Linked DNA regions of Elephas maximus indicus. The protein of the gene in region 3 interacts with the protein of the main gene of each other region in a pairwise test. Links are inferred from orthologs where the notes say so. Each region holds a gene or a part of one and is shown on either strand. Other genes may lie near its edges. The genes, in order: C2H1orf35, GPATCH2L and THAP1.

Region 1 (3,748 bases), on a different chromosome or scaffold from region 3:
TGAGAAATTCAGTGCCTTGGTCATACCGGCCACATTTCAAGTTCTCAAGTCTCCATGAACAGCAGCTCCACTGTGGACAGTGCAGGCAGGAACATACCCGTCATGGCACAGTACACTGGCCCACTAAGTATAGCCCTGGGCACCCTCACCCCACTCCGCATCCCACACACACCCAGCCCCCCTTCCAAGCTGCCTGAGTGCAGGTCTGCTGACCACCCTGTGCAGCCCGGCCCGGCACTGCCTGGCACACAGCAGGCACGAGAGTGCAGCCTGGCAGTACAGGGCCTTCACTACCACCTGGCCTCAAACCTGCCTTCAGCCTGTCTCCACTGCACTCTCTACATGGACTCTGAGCATCTTGCTGCCACACACGACTCCTTGCCGGACCTATGGGCCCTTTCTCACCTCTGGGCTGGGTGCACGGGCCCTCCCTGGCCAGGACTCAGCCTCGGCCCTCGTGCCAGAGTGGCCACCTGACTCTGCTGGAGCTGGAGGGCCGTTCCAGGACCACACTGAGTATGCCTGCAACTTGACCTTCTCATCCGGGAACAACTCAGAGGGTTCCCAAGATGACAAAATAGGAGGCAACGAGAAAACATGGGAAGGGGCAAAAGCCACGTCCTCCACTCTACCGCAAGCAGGCAGCCTGCCCATCTGGCTCAGAATTTCCTAGCAACCAGATGTGCGAAGAGAAACTTCAATTCTGTGCTACTCAAACTTCTGCTCTGGAGCCTCTGGGGTGTGGCTTAAAGTGGCCTGGCCCCAAATATGGAAATTCTTAAAATTAAATTTTAAGTATGAAATTAAACCCAGCATCCCGCAGTGTGGGTATGCTGCCTGTGGACCCTGCGTAAGCGAGGCCCTTACCACGGCTCCGCCTTCTCCTCAGAGTGCAGCTTCTTTCTGGCTGAGGCTGGGGAGGTCTCTGCCCCACTGCTCTCCACTCGTTGGTGCTGCCAAGGGAAGCCAGTGCCACAGGTGAGGACTCAGGAGAAGGCCTGGACAACCCTGAGATGCTTCCAGGCCATCCAAGCCCAGGTTTCTCAAGTCAGGAGACTGGGAATGCCCCCAGAGAGGAGAGGACCCTGCCTCAGGCCCACAGCACCAGGGGAAGCCAGGCCCCTCCCATCTTGCCAGCATGGGCTCCTGGTGTGTTCTGGGGGAGGGGACATTACTGTGAACACCGACAGCCCCAGCTTGGCAGCCTCCTTGTCTTCTCTGGACAACACCACTCGGCCGGCGGAGCCACTGTAAGAACACACGAGGAGGGAATGCGTCTGTGGGAAGAAGGCCGAGCTGCGCCCCAGTCAGGAGGCCCTGCAGCCCTGCTGCACTTGCTTCACCTGGGCACCTGGCAGGGCCCACGGGGAGGAGCCCTGCCCTCGATTTCTCTGGGACTTGCGGATCCCTGACATCTCCCTCAGGTCCTTAATCTGCAAGTCCCAGTCCTGACAGACCCCGTCGCCAGGAGGACCCCTAAGAGTTCACCCCTGTCCCCGCACCTGGAGCTCCCCAGCCCCAGGAGCCGGTCCACACCCTTGTCCTCAGGGTCTGCTCCTTCCCGCTTACAGATCTCGACAAAGTCCTGTGGGGAGAGAAAGGCAAGGTCCTCGCAGGCCCCAGAGCCGCCTCCCACCCCGCCCAGGCCACCCTGCCGACCTCAGACCCGACACTGCCCGAACCTCCCTCGGCCCGGGGCCCCTCGGCCCGTTACCTCCTTGCTCAGGCCTGTGGGCTGTTTCTTCACATTCTTGTAGCCTCTGCAACGGGGCCAAGGCACGCTTCAGGAGGGGCCGGTCCCCCATCCCACCCCGGGCCTCCCAGCCCTCGGGGCGCCTGCACCCTCGGCCCGCACGGCCACTCACAGGGCTGCCATGAGGGCCTCCTGCTCCGCCTGCCGCACGGCCGCCAGCTCCTCCTCGCGGCTCAGCCCCACCGGGCCGGCGCGGTCCTTGGCGTACCAGGTGAGGTCCCGGCCCTTCTGCCACCGGCCCACGGGGGCCATCAGCGAGTTCCCCAGGTAGTTCTCCCGCTGCTTGTCGGTTTTCACGTCTTCCCAGTTGAACTGGTCCTGGCCGCCGCGGACGCCGCCTCGACTGGAGCCGAACATGGTGCCGGCGGCTGCTGCGGGCGACGGGAGGACAGAGAGGTCCGCGCTTGGCCAGTCCCTCCAAGCCCCAGGCCAAGTCCAAGGCCGCCCAGCCCGCGCTCGCCCAGCCCGCCCGGGCCCGCCGCCCGCCCTCACTGGCCGCCGCGGCAGCTCCTGCGAGCGTACGCCCCCGCGCCGCGCGCGGTGACGCCATCCGCACCGCCGTCGGCTCCGCCCCTCGCGTCGCGCGCGGCGACGTCATCACCCGCGCCAGGTCCCGCCCCCAGCGCCAGGGGGCAGCTCGGCTGTTCTGTGTACGCACGGCGCTGGGGTCTTTCTCCCCGCTGCGGGGGTTAGAACCGCTAGCCTTTCCGTTAGCAGCCGAGCGCTTAACTGTTGTGTCACCACGGCTGCGTGAAGATTACAGCCAAGAAAATCCTGTGAAGCAGTTCTGCTCTGTAGCATGGGGTGGCCGGGAGGCTTGACCGCCAGCTAATAACACAAAAATTGTATTTCAGAATCTGATCCCTAAGATGCCAAAATGACAGCGATATAAGTTTTTTTAACGTGAAAAAGGTGAAAACAGTGACAGAAGGTAATAAGAAAAAAACACTGCCGCTTAGTCGATTCTAACTCATAGCGACCCTGTAGGACAGAGCAGGACTATCCCATAGGGTTTCCAAGGGTGTATTCGTTACAGAAGCAGACTGCCACATCTAATCTGGTGGACAGCCCATCTCTGGAGAAAAATCATCGTGCTATTCAAAGGAAGAAATAATCTTGGACGTCCAGATGGCTGGAATAAAAAGCAAGCATTTATGCTTACAGAAATACATCAGCGGCTTGAAATCCAATAAGGTAAATTAGGCCGTAAGAATTGTGCAACCATTCAGCATTTAAGAGTGACAGGGAAAAGCGTGTGGCATTTACCTGGTAACTCCAAATGGCAGTAGGCACTAGGCAGGTTCTCTGCGAACAAAGAGGTAAGGAATATTTTGTTTCTAAAACCCATGCTAAAGTTCAAGATTTGTAAAATAAATGGTTCAATTCCCAGTTTAGCGTATAAACTAAATAAAATACTGATGCTACCATAGAAGTTTTTAATACGGTTCATGGTTTAGTAAAACATAATAGGCTTTACCTGGCATTGAGGGGCAATAAGATTTCAAGAGAACTGGAAAGGTCAGCTGTTCAGTAGAGCAAGAGTAACAGGACAAATCACAAGAATTAAGATGAAGATAATTAAAGGTATCATAGAAGGGAACGGCAGACGTGGTACTTGAACCACCAGGCATTTCGTGACTACACTCCAGTGCCCAGTTCGGCCAGTGCCTGCCTCCGCCAGTCAGCTTATTTGTTGCTTTAAAAGAGCTGGTATCCACCACAGTGGATTATGGTTTCAGTACACTATGGTTTACCATCAATTACTGTGGCTTTAATAATGAATATTCAAAAACAAACCTCATTGTATTTTGTTCTGATGGGGCAATGCTGAGAAGAAAATCTGAAGTAACTACAAAGCTGTTGGAAAATATTCCTAAAAATCTTCATTTGGAACTGTAAAATCATTAGTTGCAACTGTCAACAGCAGAATGAAAACAATCATTTAAAAATATTTCTGTGTAAAACATCTCATTGATCACCATAGTTTAACGGTAG
Region 2 (3,748 bases), on a different chromosome or scaffold from region 3:
AGCTCATCCATGAGGCCACATCTGCCAAAAGGAAATTCAAAGAAAAGAAAAGCCTGAATAGGATCTGATGGTTTAGAATAATTTTATAAAACAGGTTATAACACTGCAGAGTCCACCCGGTCTATAGAAAATAAAGTTGCCTTTCATCCAGCCACACTTACACTCTGTTCCTGCCACCCATGCTCCCCTAAGCCACTAAAAATAGGCATCTGACCCTTGTGAAATGCCTGAAGTCAACATGTTCTCAACCACAAAAATGCAAACACCCACCAGGTGACAACCAGAATATTAGCAAAAACAAGCAAACTCAGGGGAATAGGTCTTTCCCTTTTTCTCCAATAAAACTTTCATCTGAATTACATGATAATGAGATTCAAAAAGATCCGAGACTAACTCATCAGAGGAGTACAAAAACACACAACTTCAAAACCAGGGTAGGGGTCAGGTACCACAGGGTAGGCCCAGTCTCAACATGACAGTGAGAATGGCTGGAGAACTGATTGTTCTGTGGTCTGGGGTCACTGGTGAGAATCTAGGTGGTGAGGAACAAAAAGACAATTTAGTGACATACTCTAAGGAAGACTGCTTGCAGTTTTAGTGATCCAAGACTGTCGTGACTTTGCAGTGATCCAAGACTTTGTACTCAGAATGGAAAAAAGAGACTAAGTTTACATCCATTTAGTCTGGACTATCACCTGGCAGCTAGCTACCAGGTATAGCACCTTATAGACTATGTCATGAATTTTGTTGTCCAGGCTACCACCTGGCAGCTAGCTACCAGGTATAGTACCTTATAGAATATGTCATGTATTTTGTCATAATTAACAACTTTTAAGCTCCTCTTCCCATCTTTCAAAAAATAAATTAAATAGCCACCCCAATTAAATGCTTTAGTGCCACACAACTACGGAAACACGGGAAATTACCGAGGATAGAATGACAGGGATAGGGTGCAGCTTCTAAGATTTCCTACTCATTCTCATCAAACCATCATGCTTCAGGGGTCACTTCAGATTCAAACCTTCAAAGGATAAGAGTAGCATGAGCAATTTTCAAAATTCCCTTTTAATGGGAAATGTCTAACATAATTTGTCCAACATCTAATTATAATACATATTAAATTATCGTTTTTTCCCTAGCTCTCCTTAAGCCCAAACCATTTCAGGAGCATAATTAGAGCTTAAAACCTTGTGTGGCGCCACTCTCTGACCATATTTCCGTTCACGCAGTTTACATTTTGCAGAGGGCTTTCTAAGACCTATTTTCATGCTGTCCCTCTGCCAACGAATTCAAAGGCTGGCTTATCTGCCACATCTGTGGAAGCAATGAGAACATCGAGTTCCAAAACCACCCGAAACATAACTTCTCAAAATGTCAAAAGTCACACACACTAAAAGACTTCATCCCCTTAAGTAATAGGAAGCGGTTTAGAATGCCATGACTGGTATTTGAGAGACAACTGACCTTAAAACCCAAATGAGCTAAACAAATCTAAATCTACTTCCCCAATAAAGAACTACTACCTTAAAAACTCGGGCAGAACCGTACAAACTTTAACGTGGACCAAAGTTATCCGAACAACTTCTAATTGAATGCCTGTTCAGAATCCTCTCCTGACTCAAAAGCTGCAATGCAAACAGCCGATGACCGAGGAGAAGCCTGAGGCTCCCACGCTTCCAGTCTCGGTGCAGACTCCAAGCGGACCTCCCGGGTCCTGGCAGCCCCCGGGGGGAGAGGTAAGCCTGTCTGAGTCACGCGCAGGAAGGAAGAGGAAGCTGGTGGACACCAAGTGACAAGAGAGGCAGACGCAGGGTGAAGGGGAGGTGGGGAAGCAGGCAGCAACTTCTCATCTGGGCTCAATCACAAGGGGCAGAGGTCAGCCCTTCTAGGTCAGAAACCGCCAACAGGCAAGTTCTGGGGGCTGAACTCCCTCCCTGTTCGGGGATGGCAACATGGCCACATATGTGAGGAAAAGCGGGTTTGGGGGGCTCTCACCCACGCCCTGACCCGTCCTCGTGGGACAGGGCGACCACGGCTCGGGACACCAAGCCCTCACGCTGTCGCCGGCCCGAAAGAGGTAGAATACAGAGAGAAGAGGGGACTGTCACCCCAGAGACGGCCCTATCATTCCGGGATGGGGGCAATGGGCCCTGCAATGCAAGGCCCCGCCACCACCGCCCCTCCCGCCGGCCGTCGCAGTCCCCTGGCGCCCCTAGCCGCTCAGCCCCTAGCCGCCCCGGCGGCCCGGAGGCCTGATCCCCGCTGGTACCAGTCCTCTGAATCCCGACCCGCTCATCCCACTCCTCCCCCTCACCGGCTGCCGCAACCGCCTCTTCAGGCCGCCGCTTTTTGCGCCGAGTCTGCCCGCCGGGGTTTCCCTCTCTGATCTCATTTCCGGTGTGGGCCGGAGGGGTGGAGCGGTATCCCAGTGGGAGGGGTTGAGGTGCACGAGAAGAACCGCCCCCGGGGCAGCGCTTCCGCCCTGCGGTCACGCCCACTTCCGCCCCTCTAGGGGCGGAGCCGTAGGAAGTCCGGGAGCTACGCGAAGGGGCTTGGACGCGCGGCGATAGGGGAGAGCAGTGCGAGGTGCTTCTCCTGGGTTAAGGTGTTACTCCGAGGAAAGACTTCAGCGAGCTAGTCGCGTCTTTCTTGGAGGCGTCAGGAAATTGGGTGTTAGGGAGGAGCATCGGCCTCGCCCTTGCTTGCTGGCCTACTTTTATAAAGGCTGTGTAAAGTTGGGGGAAATGGAGCTTCTCATTCTTAACCGTGAGAGTTGGTACAACCTATGGCAAGGATACCTTTGCATTAAAGTTACACATGCCTTGAAGAGCAAAAATAGAGTAGAAATAACCGTTAGTACATAGTGATATAAAAAAATGATTGATTGGATAAATATATGGGGGAGAAGAGACACATTTCCTGTGCAGCATTATAAATAATTTATACCGATAATTAACATAACTCCCAGCTCCTTAAGTTGGGCTGTGCACTGTGACTTCTTTCCAAAGGGTACTGTATGAAAAGAGGCCAAAAAAAGTACGTAATTTTACAGTAAAGTCGCAAACACAACCTCAACCAGGTAGGTGATCAAGGTCAACATCAACAGTGATAAGTCATGTTCATAGTATACAGCCTTGATATGATGTGATGAGAATGGCACCGCCCAGAGGAGTCTAAGGAGACACGACAGATAAATGTGGCTTCTTGAATGGGATCCTGGAACAGAAAAAGAATATTGGGTAAAAACTAAGGAAATATGTGTAAAGAATGGACTTCAGTTAATAATTACATATCAATATTGGTTGGTTAATTGTGACAAGTGTAATATACTAATGTAAGATGTTAATAGTAAAGAGAACTGTGCAGTATCTTTGCAATTTTTCTATAAATCTAAAACTATCCTAAAATTTAAAAAGTAGAAAATACACATGTTTCTTGATCCAGCAATTCTGCTTCTAGGAATTTTATTCTGAGGAAGAATTAGAAATGGGCACAAAAGTGTTAAATGTGAGTAGATTCATCTCTGCAGTGTTGTAGGGGAGGAGGGTGAAAGATAAAGCTACAACAAGAGCTAGTTAACTAAATTATGAGCTGGAATACCTTGCAGTCTTTTAAAATTGATGCTGTGGAAGAATATTTGATGCCATGAAAAGTCATTGATTTAGGATGGTGTACATTTCTGTATGACTGTTATACTTCAGTAAAAAAGTTACTCTAAAAACACAGAGATTGATCCTATTCATGTTTA
Region 3 (3,748 bases):
CTATAGGGTCACTATGAGTTGGCATTGACTCGACAGCAATGGGTATAGATTCCCTCTGCCATATCATTAGGAAGGTGGGGGCAGAATGCATGACATCTTGTCACTATCTCCTGGCCCTTCCTATAATTTTAAAGTACTGGAGGTCAATTTCATCAGGGTTCAGAGATTCCAATAAATCAAGAGATTTGATCTTGATCAAATCTACTGAACTGAATTCTGGAAGTGTTCTATTCCCTTCTTCATGGGAAAATATTAACACTCTCAAGATCTTTTTATGCTCTAAAACTAAACCAAATCCACTGCCATGGAGTCAATTCTGATTCATAGCAACACTATGCTCTAGGTACTCCTATTTCTGTAGGGTCCAACCCATGTTATATCAAACACAGAAAAATCCATCCAGTCCTCCATTAAACATAAACAGCCCCCTCTCCCTAAATTGAAGGCATGCTTAAATATTTGCTTTTGTAATTATTTGACTCAACAATGCGTATAGTTTACTATTGGCTCTACTTTCTTAGGTATCATCCCTATATATTCAGGAATTCTTGCAAAAAAATATATAATGCAAACATAATAAAATCTGTAAATACTAATCTTGGCTGAATGAAACTGTTGTCACATTTTTTAGCCATTTAATTAACACTACCTCATTTCAGTTTTGCAGTTTTCTTTTCCTACTTTCCTCCGTAGTACTATAACTGTGGCACCTACTGGGTGAAATAGTCCTGAATTTCAGCTGTGCGGTGCGTTCCTCTGTGAAGGCTTTCTCTATGCTCCCATAGAGATCACACTGACTTTATGGTACTTTATTGCAGTCTAGGTTATTATTGTTGTCCATTTTTACGATTACTGTGTGCTGTAAAGATAATTATTCATCTCAGCAGTGCCACAAGTGTTCTCTAAAACTTTAGACTTGTCATGGACTGAATTATGTCCCCCCAAAAATGTGTGTTTTCAGTTGGGCTGGGCCATGATTCCCAGTATTGTGTGATTTTCCTGTATGCTGTAAATCCTGCCTCTATATTAATGAGGGAGGATGGGCGGCAGTTGTGTTAGCCAAGCAGGACTCAACCTACCAGTTTGGGTTATGTCTTGAGGCAATCTCTTGAGATATAAAAGAGAGAAGCAAGCAGAGAGACAGGGGGACCTCATACCACCAAAAAAGCAGCACCAGGAGCTGAGTACGTCCTTTGGAACCGGGGTCCCTGCACCTGAGAAGCATCTAGACCAGGGGTAGACTGAGGACAAGGACCTTCCTCCAGAGCCGACAGAGGGAGAAAGACCCACCCTGGAGCTGACACTCTGAATATGGACTTTTAGCCTACTTTACTGTGAGGAAATGTATTTCTCTTTGTTAAGACCATCCACTTGTGGTATTTCTGTTATAACAGCACTAGATGACTCAGACAGGAGTGAAGGCTGGTTCCCAGATGTTGAGCCAAAAAAATCCTCCCTCAGATACTAAACTTTTGTTAAAGGTGATGGGACATTTGGAAATGCATAATGGTAATAGTTGAACATAATAAACGTAACTAGTGTAATTGAGTTGTACATACATGTTGAAACAGTACATGCATGTTGAAATTGTAAAGCATGCTGAAATAGCAAGCGACTTATTACATACATATGTACAATTTTTAAAAAATCTTCCCTAAAACTCCAGTCAAAAATTAATCCTCAATTGTTGTGATTCTGGCCTCCCGTTCCCAGTAGTTTCTGAAGGACCAAAAACAGTAACTTCTATTTTGTTTTTTGTGGAGCCCCAGTAGCGCAGTGGTTAACAGCCATGGCTGCTAACCAAAGGGTCGGCAGTTCTAATCCACCAGCCACTCCTTGGAAACTCTATGGGGCAGTTCCCCTGTCGCTATGAGCCGGCCTCGAACTCGCCAACCCGAAGCCACAAGCGCTTCTTGCCTTCTCCGCGGATTTTAAGAGCGCGAGAAACGGTCGCTATGGCGACGCGCGGTGAGACCGCCCAGCCCGGAACCGAAAAGCGCCGGCCTCGGAGCGGCGCTTCCCCAACACTTCCCTGTCCGGACACGCCCACCGCTCCCCGCCCGCCTCATTACCCCTCGCGCGGGCACGCGCCGGGCTCCGCCCCCGAACCTAAACGGCCGCGCGCCCCTAGCCCGACCTGGGGTATGTCCCGTGAGGAGCGCAGCGTACTTACTTGTGGAAAGAAACGGGCTTATCCTTATCGTATCTGTTCTTGCAACCGTAGGCGGAACAGGACTGCACCATCCTTCCGGTACTCAGTCACTTCACTTCTGCCGCCACCGCAGGCAGGTGAAGCTATCAATATCCCCGCGGTCGATTTTGACACTCTCGCTTCTTCTGTAGCTTTGGTTAACAGATAAAGTGATGATAGCCTCACTCGGGTGTGACTAATGTGCCCGTTTTGTTGTTTGCATTAGCAGAAAGACCACAGCCATCGCCCGTCTCCCATCTCCAAGATGGCGGAGGCAGCTTCAACTTCACTTATCGCGAGGAGTTCGTCCCACTGCCTCTGATTAGCCCCCGAGGTCAGAGGTAACGTTTCCTGCGGAGCAGGCCATTGGCTGAGGCTTGGCGTCTCGCGCAGCGAGCTCTGCGTTGCGGAAGTGGGCGGGGCCTCCGAGATCCCTGCCGGGAGGAAGGGAGCCGTTGGGGGCGGGGAAGGGGCTGGGCGAAGGTGAGCCGTGGGCCGAGCTCCTGTCGGTCGTGGAGTTTCCGTAGACTTACTTATCCGGAGCTTTCCTGGGGCGGCTTGGAGTGTGGGACCAGTACAGCTTGTTGGGTCTGGTGGCCTAAAGGAGGCTGGGGAGCAAAGTCTTAATTGAGCCCATTTTCTTAAAAGGTACGCCACAGACGATTTTACGATTTTGTGGACCCCTTTTCTGACCCCTAATCTGTATCCTATTACCTGTCTGTACAGGCATCTCAAGGATCTGTGAGAGTCCATGTGACAGATTCTTAGCGATGAAAGAAGCCACACGCACAGCCCCCACGTACCAGCCGGATCCTCTTTCTGGACTTCTCTGGAAGCGGCTCCGTTTCCCGCGGCTGGCTTTTGCTGCAGGGTTCCCAGGCGCTGCCTTGGAAATCGCCACTGGCAGCAGCGATTTCCACGTGGAGAGTGGTTTTACCCAGGGCTTTGAACCCGTTGGTTCCGGTTCAGACCCCTGCTGTGAAGTTGCATTTACACCCCCACCCACCCATTTCACCCCAGGTATTCTGAATCAATCTACATTTTAATGAGATCCTTAGGTGATTCTTACATAATAAAGTTTGAGAACTACTGCTCAACTGGTGGTTCTCACAATTGGTTGCTAACCAGCACCATTAGCATCAACTGGAAGCTTATTAGACATGCAGATTCTCAGCCCTGATTTTACTGTTCCCGTACCCGCCCCTCTCCTCTATGTAGGTTAAAGCCTGGATAGGGGGCAACTGATTAATTTAATGGCTCGTACATTCTTTTTCTGCTCTTCTTAAATGTTGGGGTTTCAATCCTCTGCCCTCCTTGCACTCTGAACACTCTGATTCTTGAATCAAATGCCATAACTTCCTCAATCTTTTACTTCTTATGTAAATTCGTTCTGCCTAGGTATTCTCATTACCTGTAAATTATCCATGCAGTTCAGGCCAGAAACCTTGGAGTCAGCTTGGATGTCTTTCTCACCCTTCACATCCCTTTCATTACCAGGTTAATTTTTTTTTTTAATTGTGCTTTAGGTGAAAGTTTACAGCTCAATTTCTCCTTCAA

What was found.
Region 1: the proteins of THAP1 (region 3) and C2H1orf35 interact in binary tests that used the Homo sapiens proteins (3 or more experiments, as listed by UniProt). The two-hybrid records come from large-scale screens. The link is inferred for Elephas maximus indicus from reciprocal best matches to the Homo sapiens genes THAP1 and C1orf35.
Region 2: the proteins of THAP1 (region 3) and GPATCH2L interact in binary tests that used the Homo sapiens proteins (3 or more experiments, as listed by UniProt). The two-hybrid records come from large-scale screens. The link is inferred for Elephas maximus indicus from reciprocal best matches to the Homo sapiens genes THAP1 and GPATCH2L.

What each region holds. Positions count from the first base shown.
Region 1 is NC_064820.1:232,588,327-232,592,074, reverse strand, and holds the start of C2H1orf35 (multiple myeloma tumor-associated protein 2), read right to left. Parts: upstream 2,313-3,748; 5' UTR 2,304-2,312; coding exon 2,246-2,303; intron 2,125-2,245; coding exon 1,866-2,124; intron 1,761-1,865; coding exon 1,715-1,760; intron 1,586-1,714; coding exon 1,503-1,585; intron 1,249-1,502; coding exon 1,176-1,248; intron 954-1,175; coding exon 868-953; intron 1-867.
Region 2 is NC_064828.1:88,911,510-88,915,257, reverse strand, and holds the start of GPATCH2L (G patch domain-containing protein 2-like), read right to left. Parts: upstream 2,398-3,748; 5' UTR 2,315-2,397; intron 22-2,314; 5' UTR 12-21; coding exon 1-11.
Region 3 is NC_064840.1:57,592,830-57,596,577, reverse strand, and holds the start of THAP1 (THAP domain-containing protein 1), read right to left. Parts: upstream 2,492-3,748; 5' UTR 2,245-2,491; coding exon 2,174-2,244; intron 1-2,173. UniProt on the Homo sapiens protein: DNA-binding transcription regulator that regulates endothelial cell proliferation and G1/S cell-cycle progression.